4 linked regions of the Drosophila melanogaster genome follow. The protein of the gene in region 1 interacts with the protein of each later gene in a pairwise test. Each region holds a gene or a part of one and is shown in the gene's direction. Other genes may lie near its edges.

The links.
Region 2: the proteins of ari-2 (region 1) and MsrA interact in a two-hybrid assay, tested with the Drosophila melanogaster proteins (one large-scale study listed by BioGRID).
Region 3: the proteins of ari-2 (region 1) and Nmt interact in a two-hybrid assay, tested with the Drosophila melanogaster proteins (one large-scale study listed by BioGRID).
Region 4: the proteins of ari-2 (region 1) and Hakai interact in a two-hybrid assay, tested with the Drosophila melanogaster proteins (one large-scale study listed by BioGRID).

What each region holds. Positions count from the first base shown.
Region 1 is NT_033778.4:22,211,097-22,217,786, forward strand, and holds ari-2 (ariadne 2), read left to right. Parts: upstream 1-1,738; 5' UTR 1,739-2,344; coding exon 2,345-2,423; intron 2,424-3,785; coding exon 3,786-5,089; intron 5,090-5,149; coding exon 5,150-5,296; 3' UTR 5,297-6,168; downstream 6,169-6,690. Other genes in the region: CG11291 (uncharacterized protein), read left to right, coding at 345-1,087, 1,142-1,325; CG30278 (uncharacterized protein), read right to left, coding at 6,422-6,690.
Region 2 is NT_037436.4:15,509,419-15,513,708, forward strand, and holds MsrA (methionine sulfoxide reductase A), read left to right. Parts: upstream 1-1,633; 5' UTR 1,634-1,700; coding exon 1,701-1,751; intron 1,752-2,144; exon of another isoform or gene 2,145-2,184; coding exon of another isoform or gene 2,185-2,214; intron 2,215-2,470; exon of another isoform or gene 2,471-2,616; coding exon of another isoform or gene 2,617-2,664; intron 2,665-2,753; coding exon 2,754-2,947; coding exon of another isoform or gene 2,948-2,951; exon of another isoform or gene 2,952-3,057; coding exon 3,058-3,318; intron 3,319-3,377; coding exon 3,378-3,612; coding exon of another isoform or gene 3,613-3,657; 3' UTR 3,658-3,784; downstream 3,785-4,290. Other genes in the region: gdl-ORF39, read left to right, coding at 131-250; gdl (gonadal), read left to right, coding at 318-463, 519-813, 1,187-1,330. UniProt on the Drosophila melanogaster protein: Has an important function as a repair enzyme for proteins that have been inactivated by oxidation. Catalyzes the reduction of methionine sulfoxide in proteins to methionine. Does not catalyze the reverse reaction involving the oxidation of methionine residues.
Region 3 is NT_037436.4:8,175,632-8,180,320, reverse strand, and holds Nmt (N-myristoyl transferase), read left to right. Parts: upstream 1-1,891; 5' UTR 1,892-1,993; coding exon 1,994-2,198; intron 2,199-2,681; coding exon 2,682-3,895; 3' UTR 3,896-4,186; downstream 4,187-4,689. Other genes in the region: mthl7 (methuselah-like 7), read left to right, coding at 1-479, 655-831, 893-1,144, 1,209-1,383, 1,447-1,645; RecQ4 helicase, read left to right, coding at 4,465-4,566, 4,620-4,689. UniProt on the Drosophila melanogaster protein: Adds a myristoyl group (tetradecanoyl group) to the N-terminal glycine residue of certain cellular proteins. Such protein modification are critical for the developmental processes that involve cell shape changes and movement.
Region 4 is NT_033779.5:19,580,109-19,584,507, reverse strand, and holds Hakai (hakai), read left to right. Parts: upstream 1-2,033; 5' UTR 2,034-2,137; coding exon 2,138-2,501; intron 2,502-2,604; coding exon 2,605-3,152; coding exon of another isoform or gene 3,153-3,176; exon of another isoform or gene 3,177-3,222; coding exon 3,223-3,732; 3' UTR 3,733-3,896; downstream 3,897-4,399. Other genes in the region: CG10366 (uncharacterized protein), read right to left, coding at 1-162; PCNA2 (proliferating cell nuclear antigen 2), read left to right, coding at 581-688, 823-1,482; Pmvk (phosphomevalonate kinase), read left to right, coding at 4,378-4,399.

The sequences.
Region 1 (6,690 bases):
CTTACCGAGCATTCTGAACCATTTCAGTCACGTTTGGGGTTATAAAGATCTTTAAGAGTATTATGATCCTAATCTTAGTAGAACGTGTAGCTAACTTATCACAGCATTTTTGCGCTTTCACTCTGGGTGGTATTTTCGACAGCATCTCGTGGCCGAAGATTTTATTAGAAAGAAAACATTTTTATATAGTATCACTTTACTTTTGCCAAATAAACTTTTTCGTATTCCTTGCTATTTTATGATACTCTTATATGGCAATATGAAATTTTTAATCTTTGAAAATAATGTCATAAAGTACTCAAAATTTTAATATTTCACATTCTAAATTTAATCAAAATTGTATTATGTTAAGGCGCAGTCTAAGCCATCTGGACAAGCTGCCGAAGGCAAAGGTGGCCGAATGGCTGGCCGGGATCGACACCATTATTTGCAGCACGGATGGGGTGCTGTGGCAGGAGAATACCCCCATTGAGGGCTCTGTAGAGGCATTCAATGCCATAATTTCAAAGGGAAAGCGATGTCTCATAGCCACCAACGAGTGCTGCCTAACAAACAAGGATCTGTTCCAGAAGGCCAAGTGCCTGGGCTTCAATGTCAAGGAGCAGGACATTTTCAGCTCGTCGGGTGCCATTGCGAGTTACCTTAGCGACCGGAAGTTTAAGAAGAAAATCCTCGTTTTGGGTGGTGACGGTATCCGCAAAGATCTGAAAGAGGCCGGATTCTGTTCCGTGGTAAACGATCTGCAGCCAAATGACCAGAAAAAAATCGACTTCGTCAGGAGCTTAGTTCTCGATCCGGATGTGGGAGCTGTTTTGGTGGCCAGAGACGACAACATGATAGCGAACGAGTTGCTTGTGGCCTGCAACTATCTTCAAAATCCCAAAGTCTTGTTCCTTACCACTTGCATTGATGGATTCCAGCCATTTGGGAAAAAGAGGATCCCAGATGCCGGATCTCTGGCCTCTGCCATCGAGATAATTGTACAACGCAAGCCTATCGTTTTGGGCAAACCGAATCAGCGGATTTTGGGCAAGTTGATGAAGTCTGGCGAAATAAAGCCCGAAAAGACGCTTGTCATTGGAAACTCGTAAGTTCAATGATTACTTTTATTGAGGATCATACTTTATCCTCTTTCCTTTAGGCTTAAATCAGACATTTTATTTGCAAGTATATGTGGTTTCCAATCATTATTGGTGGGCTGCGATAACGGAGCGATCGAAAAAGCCGAGAAAATTAAAAAAGAGGGAGATGAGAAGAAAATGAAACTTGTTCCAGATGCTTTTCTCTCCGGTCTTGCTTCTTTTGGGGAGTATTTATGCATCTAGGTGATGTCGGGCAAGAAAAGCGATTTCCATATCCAAAAAACATACCCAGCTGACCAAAAAGTAATTTAGATCATATTCAAAATTCAAACTAAGCCGCTCAAAAGCTGAACAGCTGTTTTGTTTCTGAGCACTCCTGTGTGCTAAATGATTTCGGTATTTTGGCTTTTAGCACAAGTCGCGAGTCAGTGCTACCAGTATATTTGTAAATTTTTAGTTTTAAAATTTGTAATCTAAAATAGTAAAGCAAATTGCCAGTTTTCTGTTGAAACTAATAGTTTTGCATCAATAATCGCGAAGAAAAAGTTGAATTAATGTGATAATAAAAAAATACATGTTGTTGGTATATTTTTGGTATTTGATTTGATTGCTTCGTGGTCGCACTGAAAGAAGAAGAGTAATAAAACATCGAACTATCGAAGAACGATATGCCCCGATAGGTTCGGACAAGACAAAGAACAAAATGTTCTCTGCAAAAGCTGTGCTCGCTTAAAAACGCAAAAAGTCAGTGCATCTAGTGCATTGTCAGTGGTGCATAAGATTGTTCTATAAATAGCGAAAAATGAAAATAAACTGCAGGCGAAGTAGAAAAAACACCTTGAGTTGAGTGCAACGGCTGTGCGAGTGTGTGTGCGTGAGAGCGAGAGTGCGCTCGTGTGTGTGTGTACACATGCATGTTGATAAACGAAAATAAAACAAGGGACCGCCCCCCGCCGTAGAATAGCCACCCCGCAAAGTTCATCACCCTAACCAGAATCGGTGGCACTGCATCGCGCTAAATCGGCCACTTTCCATTATCCGCATCCACCGCCCCTCCCGCTCTCTGGGTCCATCATCCACCTCCTGCGAAAACAACAACAGCAACCACCAGCGCCCTTACAACAACTGTTACAAAAGAGCAAGAGAGAAGACACCCCGCACTCACACTCACACGGAAGCAGTGAGTGTCCTCGCCAGAAACTCGAATTCCCAACCAAACATCCCGAATCTGAGGCCCAAATCTTAAGCGCCAATCCGCCGGAATGGACTCGGACATCGAAATGGATATGGAATCGGACAACGACGGGGAGTACGACGACGACTACGACTACTACAACACAGGTAAGTGGAAACTAGTACCTGATCTAGAGGGGCACTTCCCCCTGACAACAATCGGCCATCGATTTAACTGTGGCCAAATTAGGGGTACGAGTGTATCTGTGAGGAAGTACACACACACATGTCGGGCTCTTGGTTTGGTTATTCACCTTTTCGGAAGGAGGCCCGCAAGACCTGGGAATTTGCATTCAGCACTTGACATTCGCCTTGGGTTCCATGACCAAACCCCACACCCCCCATTTGATCTCCGCCCTTCTTCGCTGACCATGAAGCTTAAATTATGGAATTGAACTTGAAACAAACACACACGCACGTAGCTGCACGGCGAGAAAATTGCACTGTGTAATAGGATAAATGTTTAGTTTTAAAATGTCAAATCTAGGCCAAACTAAATGATTACATTTGGTACATTTCCCAAAGCAATTCTAATGATGATTTGATACCTCAATTTAGAGAATTATGTGATAGGGCTTGATTTTCAAATGGTTTTATAACATGAACTCAAATCAATATTGATTTAAAAGGGGCAAAATAATATAAGAATATTACTAAAGACTTGATTTCTCTCAGTGCATGGGCAAGTACAATTGGTAGTTGCGAGTTGGGACTGATTGCGAGGCTTGTGTTTTGTGGCTGGCTTCATTATTGCCCGCCACTCTGCTCACGCTCTTCGTAGCTCCACAACCCACACAAGCACACATTAACACACACACCACGAACACCAGCTCAGGTGCGTGCTCAAGTACGCAGTTGCATTCTGTTGTGTGCCGCTGTTCCGTCAACTCGGTCTCCGCTTCTTGACCTGTCCCTTATTGTTCCGACCTGGCCAAGACGCCCCCTAACTCAACCTTCAATCGGATACCTCATATCGGTAACATCGTAACGTCGAGCACTTCTATGGCAGCCTTGTCGCGCGGTTGTTTTCTCGAATTAGCCAATGTGACTAACAAAATGCAAACATGATTACCGGCTGCATACACTGTAATCCCTTTTGATCCATACATGTCAGATTAACATAGAAGATATTCCCAAAGTAATAATGTTTCGTCGGTTTCAACCGATCAATGTAAGTCAGCCATTGCTTAACTTACAAACTCAACTCAACCTTCGTAACTCTGGAACCAGTTTTGTACAATAAGGGATTAAAAGTGCCCTATTGTATATAACTGCAACTGCTAACTCAGGGTTCGTTTGAAATCCACCCTTGCTGTCTTTCAGTCTGATTTTGGTTTAAAATACAATCAGTTAGCTTAAATAACCAAAAGAAAAAGTGGAAACTGTCCTATCAAAGCATAATAGATTTATGATTTATAAATGTTATAAAGTTCAATTATATTATAATACTAATATCCTTTTCTTCTTCAGGCGAGGACTGCGATGTGGAGCGTCTGGATCCGAAGCGGGCCGACCCGGAGTACTTTGAGTACGAGTGCCTAACCGTCGAGGACATCGAGAAGCTGCTGAACGAGCGCGTGGAGAAGCTGAACACCATCCTGCAGATCACACCCTCGCTGGCCAAGGTGCTGCTGCTGGAGCACCAGTGGAACAATGTGGCCGTCGTTGAAAAGTACCGCCAGGACGCCAATGCACTGCTGGTGACGGCGCGAATCAAGCCGCCATCGGTGGCAGTGACGGATACGGCTTCGACGAGTGCAGCGGCGGCCAGTGCCCAACTGCTCCGACTGGGGAGCAGCGGGTACAAGACGACGGCATCGGCGACACCACAGTACCGCAGCCAGATGTGTCCCGTTTGTGCCAGCTCGCAGCTGGGCGACAAGTTCTACAGCCTGGCGTGTGGGCACTCGTTTTGCAAGGACTGCTGGACCATATACTTCGAGACGCAGATCTTCCAGGGAATCTCCACGCAGATCGGCTGCATGGCCCAGATGTGTAATGTTAGGGTGCCCGAGGACTTGGTGCTGACGCTGGTCACGCGACCCGTTATGCGGGACAAGTACCAGCAGTTTGCATTTAAGGACTACGTCAAGTCACACCCGGAACTCCGCTTCTGTCCCGGGCCCAACTGCCAGATTATTGTGCAATCATCGGAGATCTCCGCCAAACGTGCCATTTGCAAGGCTTGCCACACGGGCTTCTGCTTCCGGTGCGGCATGGACTACCACGCACCCACCGACTGCCAGGTGATCAAGAAGTGGCTGACCAAGTGCGCCGACGACAGCGAAACGGCAAACTACATCAGCGCCCACACCAAAGACTGCCCCAAGTGTCACATCTGCATTGAGAAGAACGGCGGCTGCAACCACATGCAGTGCTTCAACTGCAAGCACGACTTCTGCTGGATGTGCTTGGGCGACTGGAAGACGCACGGCTCCGAGTACTACGAGTGCTCTCGCTACAAGGACAACCCCAACATTGCCAACGAGTCGGTGCACGTGCAGGCGCGCGAGGCGCTGAAGAAGTACCTGCACTACTACGAGCGCTGGGAGAACCACTCCAAGTCTCTGAAACTCGAGCAACAGACGATCGACCGGCTGCGCCAGCGGATCAACTCGAAGGTGATGAACGGCAGCGGCACCTGGATCGACTGGCAATACCTCTTCAACGCGGCGGCACTGCTGGCCAAGTGTCGATACACGCTGCAGTACACCTATCCGTACGCCTATTACATGGAGGCCGGTTCGCGAAAGAATCTCTTTGAGTACCAGCAGGTGAGTCGCAGTTCGGCTATTCTTTAACTGGTTGCCCAATAATGTATTAATTCCGTGCAGGCACAACTGGAGGCCGAAATCGAGAATCTGTCGTGGAAGATAGAGCGCGCCGAGACAACGGACCTGGGTGATCTCGAGAATCAAATGGACATCGCTGAAAAGCGCCGCACCACGCTACTGAAAGACTTCTTCCCAGTGGACGCATAGGCAACCGTCGAGCTTCCAGGGCCACCAGAACGGACAGCCTGTCTTGTTTAGCACAAACACTCTTTGATTGACTGCTGACAGGTCGACGTGACGCGACAGTATAGAGACGCTTATTTAAATTAAATTATACACATATTTACATGTATCCATCTAGTAGTAGGCCCAACGACGTGTAGCTAATTTTTAAATTAAACTAATAATCAAGTGCATATAGACTAGAAAACGTAGCATAGAGCATAGTCGACTACTCGAAGTATAATTACTATAGTTGTGACATTCGAAATCACTCAAAATGATCGGTGTAACTGCAATACAACGCCTTGCGCAGAACGTTAACGATATACAGTATCTATAGCTAAAGCCCTAGCGATACCGATACCGGTAGCTATACCATAACTATAAAACTAACTTTAAATCTAGCAACTGACTAACTGACAAACCAGACGCATTTCAGTGGCCAAGTGTTCCAACAGTTTTCCAAAAACTAGCCCAAACGACCCGATGAAATGCAGAAACAGTAACAATTCTAAATGTATAGCGCCGCAAGTCAAGCAATTATAGATCAAAGACCGCCTAAGCAGATCGGCTCATCGGTTAGACCCTAAGTTTTAAACCTTGTATTAGCCCCGCGTGAACAGCATCAAGTATTCGCAATCTGTATCTCGTAACTAATCGCAGCACATCAATCGAACGCAAAAGTCTTAAGTAAGAACGAAGATAGATACTCCCCGTCCCCGATCCCGTTCCTTTTGATTCTCACTCGATTCTCGATTAACTTTGTAAGCTGAATCATAAATTATATTCTAGGATTACGCTATGTATGTATGCTTATGCGACTGAATTTGAATTAAATTTACACTAGATATACAACTATTCAACTGACTTTTCGACTGTGGGCTGCAAGCTTACGATTTGGGTCTTGTGCTTAAAGCTTTGGAGAAGCTCATACGAAGCTTGGATTGAGTGTTTTAAGGATAAGCTTTCACTCAAGTTTCAAGTTTGGGTTTTGAGCCGAGTTTATTTTTTTTAGTGATTGAGTACGAGCTATATTCCAACTTATCTTCCTTGATTTCGTTGTTATTCAGATTGGATGTGCTTAGTTAGTCTTCGATGATGTTTTTGCTATTATTTTTTACCCTTTTTATTGCCGAACAGTGAACTCTTTCTGCTGCTCTTCCGGCTCTTTCGGCTCTTCCGGCTCTTCCTGCTCATCCGACTCATCCTAACATCAGGCGCCAAAGGTGGTTTCTGCTTCGCAAGTTGGCTGGCTAAGGTGAACAACCGGCACTCGGAATGCTCCTTCAGCAGACTGTTGGCGAACTTCTTGACTCCCGATATCTTGGTCACCCTCACGTTGTTCATATTTTCCACTTTCTTGGCGGGATAGACCTCCA
Region 2 (4,290 bases), on another chromosome or scaffold:
CACCTTAGTCATAAGCATCATTGATTTCAAATCGTACAGTCACAATTCTTTTCACGCTCTGATACAACAAAAATATATATAAATACTTTTGAAACATTTTACTTTCCGCGTCTTTCTCTGACTTACCGTTATGTGGGCAGCCAAACTGATTGTGGTCACACTGCTGCTGCTGCAGTTTGCAGCCCTGGCGCTCAGCTGTTCGTGCGGCGAAGAGGCGAAATTGGAGTGCGGTTGCACAAAACATCACTAAAAACACAAATACTTGGGAATATTACACAAATTATTGTAAATAAATAGGAAATCACAATTTAGTTAAGATGGCGGACATACCGGCAACCAGCGAAGGTAGTGCGAACACTAGTGAGGCAGTAGTGGAGTATCAGCAGCCAACTCCGGAGTTTTTACAACGCAAAATCTATTTTTTGGTGGACCAATTGCGAACTTACCATTCGGAACTTCCCGAGTAAGTCCTTGATATTTAGTTTATTTAAATATTTAACGCCATTTTTGATTAACAGAAACTTGCAGACACGCATTTCCTACGATCTACTCACCGAACTCGCCAATTGTGTGCTAAACGATGGCATTTTTGTAATAGTAAAAGCATTAATGGAGCTGCAACACGAAACCGAAAGACACTTAATTAAAATACGGATGCAGGCGGAGAACGAGTATGAAATAGAAGTGGCCGAGTGGAGGAGCAAGATCAAGGATCCCGAGGAGTTGCGCCACATTTTGGGACTCATGAAAATAAAGCACACTAAGAAACTACACGAGTCGGATACGAAGATTATCGAAATACTAGATCAAAAGGTGAAGAATTCAATATCCTTTTGAGTCGTTCCATTCCACGCACTTTTAGTTGGTCTTACCATCCAAATTTCTTTAAAAACAATAGTCGAATCTCAAACTTAGATAATCCTAATCCTATTTAAAATTAAATTCAAATATGATACATAGTTTGATTATGGATGGATCTATAGATTAGGTATATTTTAGGTATATATTTATCTGCAGATTCTTATAATTGAAATGAAATTATCACTAAAGATATTTTCTTTTGTAATACAAATTATTTCTAATCATAACTTTAAATGCTTATATGGGAATACGAAATTAGATTTTACTACTTTAACTTTCTTTGTTTTTTCTTGATGTTGAACTAATATCTAATATCATTACGCAGGTTAATGACCAACAATCCACACTTCAAAAGGCCGGCGTTCCCGGCTTCTATGTCACCGAGAATCCCAAGGAGATAAAAATACAAATGTTCCTGTTGGACTTCATTTTGCGTTTGAGCCGGCTAAAATACGAGCCCGGCAAATAACAGTTAGTCCACAATCCGGAGAACACAAAAGACTGCACTTGACTTGTTCAAATTAGAATATTAAAGGCAATTAAATTATAACCCTGATCAAATGTCCCAGCTGTACGATCAATTGTGGCCCCAAGAAACCTGTAGCGCTGCGCAGTTTTAATCAGCGTAGAATCGGGAGAGGGAGAAAGAGACGGGGCCGGCCGCCAGAAGACTGAAGAGCGGGAGAATTGATAACGATAGCGCGGCACTCTCCACATTCGCGTAGAAAGCGGGAGAGGCGGCAGTATAAATTGGACCGACCTTTCTGCAGATGCATCAGTTCAGCTTTAAATGTTAAAAGCGACACATTAAATAAATAACAATTTTAACTAGTGAAATCATGTCTCTGACTATTACTTCCAGTGTCACTCATCCTGAGCTCAAGGATCTGGTAAGTAATTGGTCTAGTGATTGGTGCCTAATCCTGTGACTAGTGATTTCAAATGTCCTGCGGTTTAATTCGAGCTTAAATGTAAATTAAAAAATGCTATGATAGCTAATGAAATATATTTTAAATTTTTTTTTGCCGAATCGTGACTTTAATACACCTTTAAACAGTGTACAAATATAAATAAACAAATATATGCAATTAAATTATTTGATGTACAAGACATAAGTAATTTGTGAAGAGTCTTAAAGTTTCTTGAACCCCCAAGGCCGGGTGGCCAAAACTTTGATGTGCTTAGTCATAAAAGCCAGTTTCCGACATCTAATGTTCAGAATAATTAAAGCTCATGTGAGCACCTTTTTGTTGGCTAGAGGAATTCGGTTTGTTTTGGCCAGGTTCAGTTGCTTCCCAACAGTTGAGCAGTTTACACATAATAATGTTTTCGCGACTGTTTCGTAATTTCAAGGCGAGTTTTGCTCACCTAAAACCGCATATTTAAATGGTTTTAAAAGTGATTTAAGCTAGGATTAATTTAGTTGTTTGCTGTGCGAAGTGAAGCGCTGTTAGCCAACGACTTTTACTTTCTTTAAATCAGTTTTTCCATTGACCTTGATTTTGAAATTGATTTTGCAATAGTGTGTGCGAGAGAGATAGTATTTTCAATCAGCTGTTCGACAGCTGCAAGTGCAAGGCGAACAGAGCGAAAACCGAAAAGAGCGCGAGAGAGAGTTTAAAATGAGCGCACAAAGTGCATTATTATTTTGCTGACGACATCAGACGCGAACAAAGCCCCAAAGAAAATACTTAAAAAACTTAAAACCTGCCGAATATTGCATTTATTATATACATATAAAATTTTGTGCTTAAAATGCGCTGTTTGCCGGGCTATGGTTACGGCCTTACGTTTCTGTTTTTGGTGTGCGCTCAATACGAATAAATCTAATATTTCAAATTTTAGAAATCTGTTGCTCATACTCCCCTTTCTTCTTCTTCTTCTTCTTCCAGAGCACCGTTCGCAATGAACAAAAGGAACTGAACATTTCGCCGGTTCACGATGTGAATGTCACCAAAGCCACGGCCACTTTCGGCATGGGTTGCTTTTGGGGCGCAGAATCCCTGTATGGAGCCACCCGTGGAGTTTTGAGAACCACCGTGGGCTACGCCGGAGGCAGCTCGGATTTGCCAACGTACCGTAAAATGTAAGGGAGCAAGTTGAGAGCATTAATCATCCATATGTCTTCCTTTCACGTCCCTACATGTTGCATCCCATAATCCTTTCGGATCCGGTACTAACCACCAATCTCAACAGGGGCGATCATACGGAGGTGCTGGAAATCGACTATGATCCCACGGTCATTAGCTTTAAGGAGCTGCTGGATCTGTTCTGGAACAACCATGAGTATGGCCTGACCACGCCCATCAAGAGGCAGTACGCCTCCTTGATTCTGTACCACGATGAGGAGCAGAAGCAGGTGGCACACGCCTCCAAATTGGAGGAGCAAGAGCGCCGTGCACCGGAGATCATAACCACTGAGATTGCATCCAAGGAGAACTTTTACCCAGCCGAGGCGTAAGTTTTAACTAAGAAAATCTGAGTGCGTTGATATGAATTTCCTTGTTTGTTCATAGGTACCACCAGAAGTATAGGTTGCAGGGCCACAAGGATCTCGCCTCATCGCTAAATCTCAGCCCCAAACTGCTGCAGACCAGCTATGTGGCCACCAAACTGAATGGCTACCTGGCCGGAGTCGGCGGCATCGAGCAGTTTAAGGCGGAGGCGGAGACCATGGGTCTGACGCCCACCCAGCGGCAGTACTGCTACTACCACGTGGAGCAGAACGAGGGCCAGGGTCTCTACTGCTGACATGGCCGAATCTGCATAGACGTTAAGCGTAGATCGTACACCTAGGGGGGTAATTTTATGGATAGTTTGCTTGTTCAAAAACAGATTGTGTATTACGTAGACTTAGAAACGTATGAAATATATATGAAACGCATATATTTTATTATTATAATAAAAAAAAATATCTCAAACTAAAGTTAATGTTTTTGGTTTTTGATTTGGAATCTTATTTGTAGCACTGCCTTTCCAGGGTATTATTAGTATTGTTTCGCCACAAAGGCAACGAACTTAATTTTGGCTTGCATCTGAACGATAAAATATCTGCAGATACGTGCTAATAGCCAGCAGTAATAATCGACTTCATCCTCCTCATGCGCGAAAACAACATGATAACCAACTGAACAATCTGGCGTGATAAACAGCTTGCAAGTCATATTAAGTTCCTGTCCAGGATCCTGTCTTATCAGCCATAAACACCCGATAACAAATTCGCTGGCTCATCTGTTTGTTTAACTTTAATGAGTTTGCATTGCTGTCAAGATCTGAACGAAATTCTGCTGAAATTCGGTTTTTACTATACAGTATTATATTTTATATAATTAAATTATTTTCCACGAGAGTTTGTTTTTTTTTTATAAAATATTTATGAAAGCGTATCATCTTACGTAAGTTATACTTTGCCAAAATGGCATGCCAATA
Region 3 (4,689 bases), on another chromosome or scaffold:
TGGGGACGGTTCGATTACGCCGATTGAAAAGCATTTAAGGGCCTGTGTTTGCAGCGTGCGGCCCTGTATTCGAATCTGCTGCCCAGCCAAGAACTTTTTGGCCAACGGAAAATGCGATGATGGTCTCAAAGAGGAGCTCGCCCGGTTCAAACCCTATATATACTTCACATACATGGACCTACAGGCACGAGTACCACTCACCGATATGGCTATTATCAGAGATGAGTTCTTTGATTGTGATGAAATGATTTACATCAGCGACTTTAACTATTTCTTAGAAGAGGTTAGCATTCAAATCTTCAATAAATGTGGACTTATAGTTTGGTTCCAGGATGGAAAATTTTGGGTTACCGTTGACCTCTTCATGGAAAAACAGGACTACTGCTTGTACCGGCACAACTTTGATTCGGATTTTCCAAAGTCCATGTGGATAATACGACACCGCTGCACAAGCCACATATCTCCTGGATCCTTAGAGAGTAATTCAATTATTATTTATAACAAAAGTCATCAATATCGTTTTCATAGCTATATAGAAAGAAACGAAAATAACTCCTTATTGGTGTGCAAACTGCTGACTGCATTCTGTGTGCCCTTTGCAAGTTTTTTAATTACAATAAGCTGGTTTTTTATTTCTTATATTTTCTTTTTCAGTTCTAATTATAACAATGATATGCTTTGTCCTAACAATCGCAGTATATCTATACATTAAGAAGCTGCGAAATGTTACTGGCAAGTGCATTGTATGCTGTATAGTTTCGAGGTTTATCCAGTGCTTGATCATGATACTAGATCATTTAAATCTATTGAATGGCATTTGCTCTCCAGCTGGTTAGTTCGAATTGGAGATATCTCTGGAAGCTTTAAATGTTATATCGTTGACTTCTTGCAGGTTACAGCTCGCACTTTTTCCGGATGGCTTCCAACCTCTGGCTCTCCGTCATCAGCTACCATACGTGGAAAGTCTTGACGTCGCTCAATCGAGTCGACCCTAACTATCGGTTCCTGCGGTACAACGCCTTCGTCTGGAGCACAGCCGCAATCATGACGGGAAGTATTTATATAGTTAATCAGATTTGGGAAAACGATCCCAGTAAATGGAACTGGTTGCCTCTGGTCGGTTTTATTCGGTGCTCGGTCAAAGGTAAACTTTCAATGCGATTGCTTTTAAATCGTTACCATGGTTACGTATTGCTTTTCCATATCAGATTGGCACCCATCCGTCTGGATCTATATAAGTGGACCGTCGCTGGCCCTGAGCACTTTCAATGTCGCCATGTTCGCCCTGACAGCCATTTACATTAGGAAAGTGAAGGGGGGTATAAATAAGTTCACAAATGAGGAGGAGGGAAGGATTAACTGCATAAACTTTGACAGCCAGACGTAAGATATGATAAAACCTTGGACCTTGGTAAACTAGTTATCCTTGCCGTATTATCCACATAGTTACCTACAGTTCCTGCGGCTCTCCATCGTGATGGGCCTTACTTGGATATTCAATGTCATTCCGTATTCTGCACGGCTCCACATTTTCTGGGAATGGGTCGGGATAATATCCGAGTATTTTCACAGCGCGTTTGGAATTGTTTTGTTCGTTCTGCTCGTCCTGAAGCGCAGCACATGGACTCTAATGATGGATTCTTAAGCTTGTTTCTATATAATTCTAATAATTGTTTACAATTAAAGCTTTAAACAATTAAAGCCCCTCATTTTATTAATATCCTTTGCTGAACGAAGGAATTGAATTGAATTTTATTGAACTCAATAAATAAATATAGTTTTAGAAAACGATGTACTTTAAACTGCCAAGAGGTCACCGCGACAAGCTTTTCACTTCGCCACCCTCTGGTAACACTGATTCTCCAGCCACTTTCGATTCTTTAAAAAACATCGATAGGTATCGCCAAAAAAATCAGCTGCTCTGCTTGTAGTTTTGCGATTTCATTGCAATTTTAATTTGCTTTACTGTTCAAAAAGAAATACAGTGCAAAATATGCCGAACGAAAACGCAGAGGACCTCTCGGGTCAAGAGCTAAAGCAGAAGGCCAAGGAGGTGGCCGACGCATCGGAGGCAATGCTCGAAAAGGTTGTTGCCGGCTTAAATATCCAGGACACGGCATCGACGAATGCAGCAGGAAACGAGGATGCGGAGCAGCCTGATGGTGCCAAGAATGAGGCTTCAGTGTCTGCGAATGCAAGTAAGTTTTCAATATGCCTGTGAAAAGTCATTTAGAGGCTCCTCCTGCGGCTGAAAAAATGAGGTTAGGTTTTGTCGGGAACTACAGTCCAACCTCTCTAACTTGAACTGCTGTGCTATTCATTTCAATTCAATTTTCAATTTTCATTTTCTGTGCAATTACTCCAAAGATTAGCCCTAACGGAAAAATAAACAACTCATAAATCATAAATACATATTTGATTTTGATGAAATATGAATATACTTACATAGATACAATTGAGTTTTTTATTACGAATAAAATATGTGTAATATAAGATTTCTACCTTGTTGATTCCATTGATTGATGCTTCATTGAAACCCCAAAATTGGGCAAATTTGTTGTCATGGGAAACTAGTCCACTGTCGTGATGCCTTAAGCTTTTTTTGGGGCAGATTAGTCATTCCAGTTTAAACTAATCGAAAAATGTTATAATACTATTCAACGCATCATCGTTTCTTTCAGGCAAACAGGCCTTGCTACAAGCCGTTTCCGATGCTATGGCCAGCACCCGTCAGATGGCCAAGAAGTTTGCATTTTGGTCCACACAGCCAGTCACCAAGCTGGACGAGCAGGTGACCACCAACGAATGCATTGAACCGAACAAGGAAATTAGTGAGATTAGAGCATTGCCATACACTCTGCCAGGCGGCTTCAAATGGGTGACACTAGACCTGAACGACGCCAATGATCTCAAGGAGCTGTACACGCTGCTCAATGAGAACTATGTGGAGGACGATGATGCCATGTTCCGTTTCGATTACCAACCCGAGTTTCTAAAGTGGTCGCTGCAGCCACCTGGCTGGAAACGCGATTGGCATGTTGGCGTTCGTGTGGAGAAGTCCGGCAAACTGGTTGGCTTCATCTCAGCCATTCCCAGCAAGCTGAAGTCGTACGACAAGGTGCTAAAGGTTGTGGACATCAACTTCCTATGCGTCCACAAGAAGTTGCGCAGCAAACGGGTGGCTCCAGTCCTGATTCGGGAGATAACGCGTCGCGTCAATCTGACGGGGATTTTCCAGGCGGCCTATACAGCTGGAGTTGTGTTGCCCACGCCAGTGGCCACCTGTCGCTATTGGCATCGATCGCTCAATCCCAAGAAGCTGGTAGACGTGCGTTTCTCTCATCTCGCACGTAACATGACCATGCAGCGGACAATGAAGCTGTACAAGCTACCCGATCAGCCCAAGACGAAGGGCTATCGCCGAATCACAGCGAAGGACATGGACAAGGCCCACAAGCTGCTGGAGGACTACCTAAAGCGCTTTCAGCTGAGCCCGGTGTTCAGCAAGGAAGAGTTTCGTCATTGGTTTACCCCCAAAGAAGGTATTATCGATTGCTTCGTGGTTGCCGACGAAAAGGGCAACATCACTGATCTGACTAGCTACTACTGCCTGCCATCGTCCGTGATGCACCATCCGGTGCATAAGACGGTTCGTGCCGCATATTCGTTCTATAATGTGTCTACAAAGACCCCGTGGCTGGACCTGATGAACGATGCACTGATCTCGGCCCGCAATGTCCAGATGGACGTGTACAATGCCCTCGACCTCATGGAGAACAAGAAGTACTTTGCACCGCTAAAATTCGGCGCCGGGGATGGAAACCTGCAGTACTACCTCTACAATTGGCGCTGTCCATCGATGCAGCCGGAGGAGATTGCTCTGATACTCATGTAGTCACCTTGTCACCTAAGCTCACATTCTCGCCCTGCCTTTCACAGCTCCCCTCCTCCGCTTTCTTCACCCTGCTGGAAGTGCCGTGCGGCTGCTTTGCTTTGCTCCTATTTACGTAGCTATTACCTGTAATCTTCAGTTATTCCAGCGAGGAAAGCCCTTTGCGAGCATACACCTAAATAGCATCATTGTGAAAATTGCATTTTGCAACGGCCAAGCTTCGATATTTTTTACTACAAGAACGAACACAAATTGTATAAAATGCGCAGCAATATCAATAAAAATGTAACGTTTACTTGGACCTTTATTGCCTATAATTGACAATAAATTATTTTGCTGCTCTTTTAAAGATGACAAGTTTTTATTTTTTTTAAGCAGATTATTGTATTTTTGCCCACTGTCCCAGCATGTGATAGTCTGGCCACTCTGTCACATGGCCATTGGTCTGGCAAGGTCGGTGAAAAAGCGCGCGCTAAGCAAAACAGCTGCACTTGTGTTGGTTTATTAGTTAACGAAATCTGATTCCAATGTTGGTTTCCTCATAATATTGACAATTAAAGACAGCCGCCGACATGGACGATTCGGTGTTCAAGCTAAAATACCAAAAGTACAAGTTGCGCGTCAAGGTGTGGGAGAAGGACTTCAAGAAGAAGAATGGCCGTGTTCCATCGAAGGTGAGATTGGGATGCGGATATGACAAGTATGCTAACTGGTTGACCTGTTGCAGTATGATATAAGGGACGCCAGTCAGGAGATTCGGGACTCATACAAAATGTACTACAAACTGAAGACATCCT
Region 4 (4,399 bases), on another chromosome or scaffold:
GGCTGCCTCGCCGGAATCCTCGTTCTTGAGGAACACATTCAAGTTGCCTTGCACGTCGTCCTTGGCGCACAGGCGACACCACTGTCGCCAGTCGCTGCTGGGATTTCGATCGACATGGGGAGCCGCCGGAGCAGCGTGCATCTCCACCTGCGCGGCGGCCATCGGGGAGCTCAGCAGTTGGTTATAAATAAACAAATAAATAAATAAAGCGTAAACATATTGGATTGGATGGCTGGATCCGAGCTGGAACTGGATCTCGAACTAGAACTGGAGCCGGAACCAGTGTTGCAGATGCTGCCAGATCAGTCGGATTAAGTGATTTCAATTGGATACCCTTAAATAGAAAAGGATTAACCTACAGCTTTAAGTCAAATTCTAAGATCTATGTTCACTAGCTTCATCATCAGACATCAAATGAACTTAAATCCGCAACCGAAACTAATCTAACAAGCTTTGTTCTTAACTCCGCAGCAGTCCGGCATCTCTACACTTGCAGCGAAACAGCTGACTGGCTTCATTTTGTTTGTTTCCAATTGTGAATTTAACGGGACAGCGATTGTCAATTTTGAAAATTGGAAAAATGCTCGAGGCGCGTTTGAGTCAGACTTTGCTGCTGAAGAAGATCGTCGATGCACTAAAGGAAATCATCGCCCAGGGAACGCTGGACTGCAGTGAAAATGGTCTGGAGGTGAAGAGAATAACCCTCCATCTGTCATTTTGTTTCGAATTCCCATAAAAGCTGTTAAGTAGTTCCATTGAGACTTGGGACTGAAAATGAAAAGTTGAGATAAGAAATAAAGCTTTTACAACTCTATATTCCAGCTGCAATCGATGGACAACTCCCACGTTTCGCTGGTGGCCCTAAGTCTGGCTTCGGATTGTTTTGAAAAGTTTCACTGCGATCGCAATGTCTCGCTGGGCTTGGATCTGAAATCCCTGGGCAAGGTGCTTAAGTGCGCCAATAGCGACGATGCGGTCACCATTAAGGCCGTTGACAGACCGGAGAAGATTACGCTCAGCTTCGAGTCGGATGGCAAGGAGCGCACGGCGGACTACGAGCTGAAGCTCCTCAATCTGGACCAGGATCACATGGAGATTCCGAAAAAGGACTACACCTGCTTCATCCAGTTGCCGTCGTCAGAGTTCGCGCGCATTTGCCGGGACATGAGCATGTTCGACGAGTCCCTGACGATCGCCTGCTCCTCGAAGGGCATCAGGTTCTTGGCCAAGGGAGATCTGGGCACGGCCAACATTCAGCTGAGTGCGGGCACCGCCATGGACGTGAGCATTGAGGTGCAGGAGCCCGTGACCCAGTCCTTCGCCGGTCGCTACCTCAACACCTTCACCAAGGCCACTCCGCTGGCAGATCGCGTCAAGCTCTACCTGTCCGACGAGCGGCCACTCCTGGTGGAGTATCCCATCGAGGATTACGGCCACATTCGATACTACCTTGCACCCAAGGTGAATGACCCCGATTTCTAGCTGAAGAACTACTCAACTCAGTTATTGCATAAATTCGAGCGCAATTTAAAGCATAAGGAAAGGGGATAAACGATATTTTTAGGCAACAAATACCAAAAATCATTTTTTTTAAAGCATAGTATAAAAATATAACTTGTAATAAAAACTATTTAATTGTAATTAAAAAAACATTTTACAAATTCAAATTTATATACGAAAAAACTAATTTTAAACCTTGTTATTAATTATTATTAAGTTTTTAAGGTTATCTTAATGTAGATCTCACATTTTCTATTCAGAATACTTTTGTTTTTTCATGTTGAAGCTACAAAAGAAATTAGTAAGCTATTAATATGATACAAGAACGGTTAAATAGATGCTTATAATTATTGTTTTTTTTTATGTTTTTTTTTACATTCATTAAATTCAAATTAGTTTAAAAATAATTGAAAAACAGATAAAATTAAAATTAAACAAGTAAAAATATTGTATTTTAAACTGACCAGTGATGCCGGACCTTTTGATGGCCAGTGTTGTTAGGCGCAGACTGGTCACCCTAAGTTACTGCACGTATGTGGGAACAGCTGACAACCCTGGCCAAACGCAAATGCGGAGCTAAACAAAAACCGAAAAACTTAAAAACCGGCATAAAATCCCACGCAAGTACAAGTGAACAATGGACACCGAGGAAGTGAAGCGCGGCCGCGGACGAGGGCGTGGCACCAGGGCTCGCGGGCGCGGACGTGGCCGAGGACGCGGTCGTGGCAAGAAAATCGACGACAGCAGCATCGCCGACGCCGCAGCCCTGGCGGCCAGCAGCTGTGCAGCCCTGGAGGACAGTCCGGGAAGACTGGACGCCTCCGAAGATTCGGTCATGCAGGAGCTCGACAAGGACGGCGAACTGGAAACGCCCGGCGCTCTGGAGGAGCCCCTGCCGCACGGTGCGCTAGGAGCGGTCGCCGCCAGCGGGAACATGACTCCAGCGACGCAACAGCCACAGGTCCTGCAGCAAGTGCCACCGCCCGTGATGAGCCAAACAAGTGAGTCTCCTCCCCTATTGAATGGTTGTCCAAGATAGTTAAATTGATTAACATCTTGGCTTGACCAATTCCTTGGTATCCAAACTTGAAGCATTGAACAAAGCTATCTCGCTATCTCTCGCCCGCGCAGTCGACATGGAGGCGGACATATCGCAACTGGAGGCGCCCACTTTCACCACGCTTTCGCGCGGACCGCCGGAGCCGATGCTGCGCCTTAAGTGGAACCACAAGGTGAGCCTGATCGGCGAGAAGGTGCTGAACCCGATGATCCACTGCTGCGATCAGTGCGACAAGCCGATCCTCGTCTACGGCCGCATGATACCCTGCAAGCATGTATTTTGCCTCAAGTGCGCCCGCGCCGAGCCCATCAAGAGTTGTCCCCGCTGCACGGACAAGGTGTTGCGCGTGGAGCAGAGTGGCCTGGGCACCGTGTTCATGTGCACGCACGGCGGCAGTCGCTACGGCAGCTCCGGCTGCCGTAGAACATACCTTTCGCAACGCGACCTGCAGGCGCACATCAATCACAGACATGTGGCGCCGCAGCCGCCACCGTTGCAGCCACAGCCGCAGCTGTCAGCCATGGCGGAGCAGCCAAAAATGACGGATCTGGGCGGCGTCGGTCTGGGCCTGGAGTTGCACAAGCAGCGCAAGGCGAGTGGTAGCTATGGCTCCTAAACTAAGCTGTCCTGTCTATAAAAAAACAACCGCTTGCCCCTTGCAGCTCTCCGAGTCGTCTGTCCCCATATCCGTTTCCGCCTCCATTGCGTCCCGTCCCGTCCTGTCGCGGCTGCCACTGACCGGCGGTGTCGGTAACATCGGTAGTATTGGTAGTATACCGCCACCAGGATCCGCCGCCGCCGCCCAAAACGCCATCCACGGCGGCCACTCGACGCTCACGCTGGCCAATTTGACCAGGATCAACAATGCCAATGCGCAGGAATGTCACCAGGGCAAGGCCTCGCTGCACCACACGCTCAAGAAGGGCACGCCCCACCAGTCCGAGTCGGTGGCGGATGCCTCCTACTACAGCAGCGTGCTCGCCTCCTTTGGCAGTGCGGCCGGGAATCCGGGTTCTGGGCCACCCGGCGGTGGGGCAACAGCAGCAGCACAGCCCGCCAATCCGAGTGGCAGCCATTCCGCTGTTGGCCCAGGTGCCCTGATTGGAGGCTCCACCGACGCGCCAACTGGTGGCTCGAGTGGCAACTGGCAGCAGTCGCAATACTACAGATAGGGGGACGAAAGCGAGGGGCTAGTAACCAGGGTAGACGCTTTAACGCAGGCACGCAGGCTTTTAATTAAGTGAACAAGTGTATGTTAAGCTGAACTGAACACTATTAAAGATATTTTACGGGGTTAGGCCAACCCGAACCAAAAAATAAATGCTACTCCGGTTTTAAAGCTTGGGCTAAACTTAATTCTTAATGTAGTAGTGAAGTGGTTATCGTGGCGAACAAATCAGGATAACAATTTTATGAATACCTTTGCGGTTCTCAAGCTGAACGAAATTCAAAAATCCCGCCCGATTGGCGGCCAATCGATGACGGTACGGTTTCCACTCGAGCTGAATGAAATTCAAAAAGCCCGCTCGATTGGCCGCCTATCGATGACGATACGCTCCAGCTGGTTGCTGTTCCAGCGAAATACAAAAGGTAAACAAATGCGACTTGGAGCACAGACTTCGAATGGAGCATTAGCATAAACACAACAGGCCGCAGTGCCGGAGTCAAGTGGCAGGGCCCAGGGTGAACACAACCACATCCAGTATCTGATGAGCACAGCGTAGAACTTAGGAAATCGAGGCCACAAGCAGAAGCAGCAGGAGAAGCAGCGGTTGTGAAAGAAGTTGGCGAGCAAAAGTGAAAGTTGCGCCAGAAAAATGATGAAAATTGTACTCATCA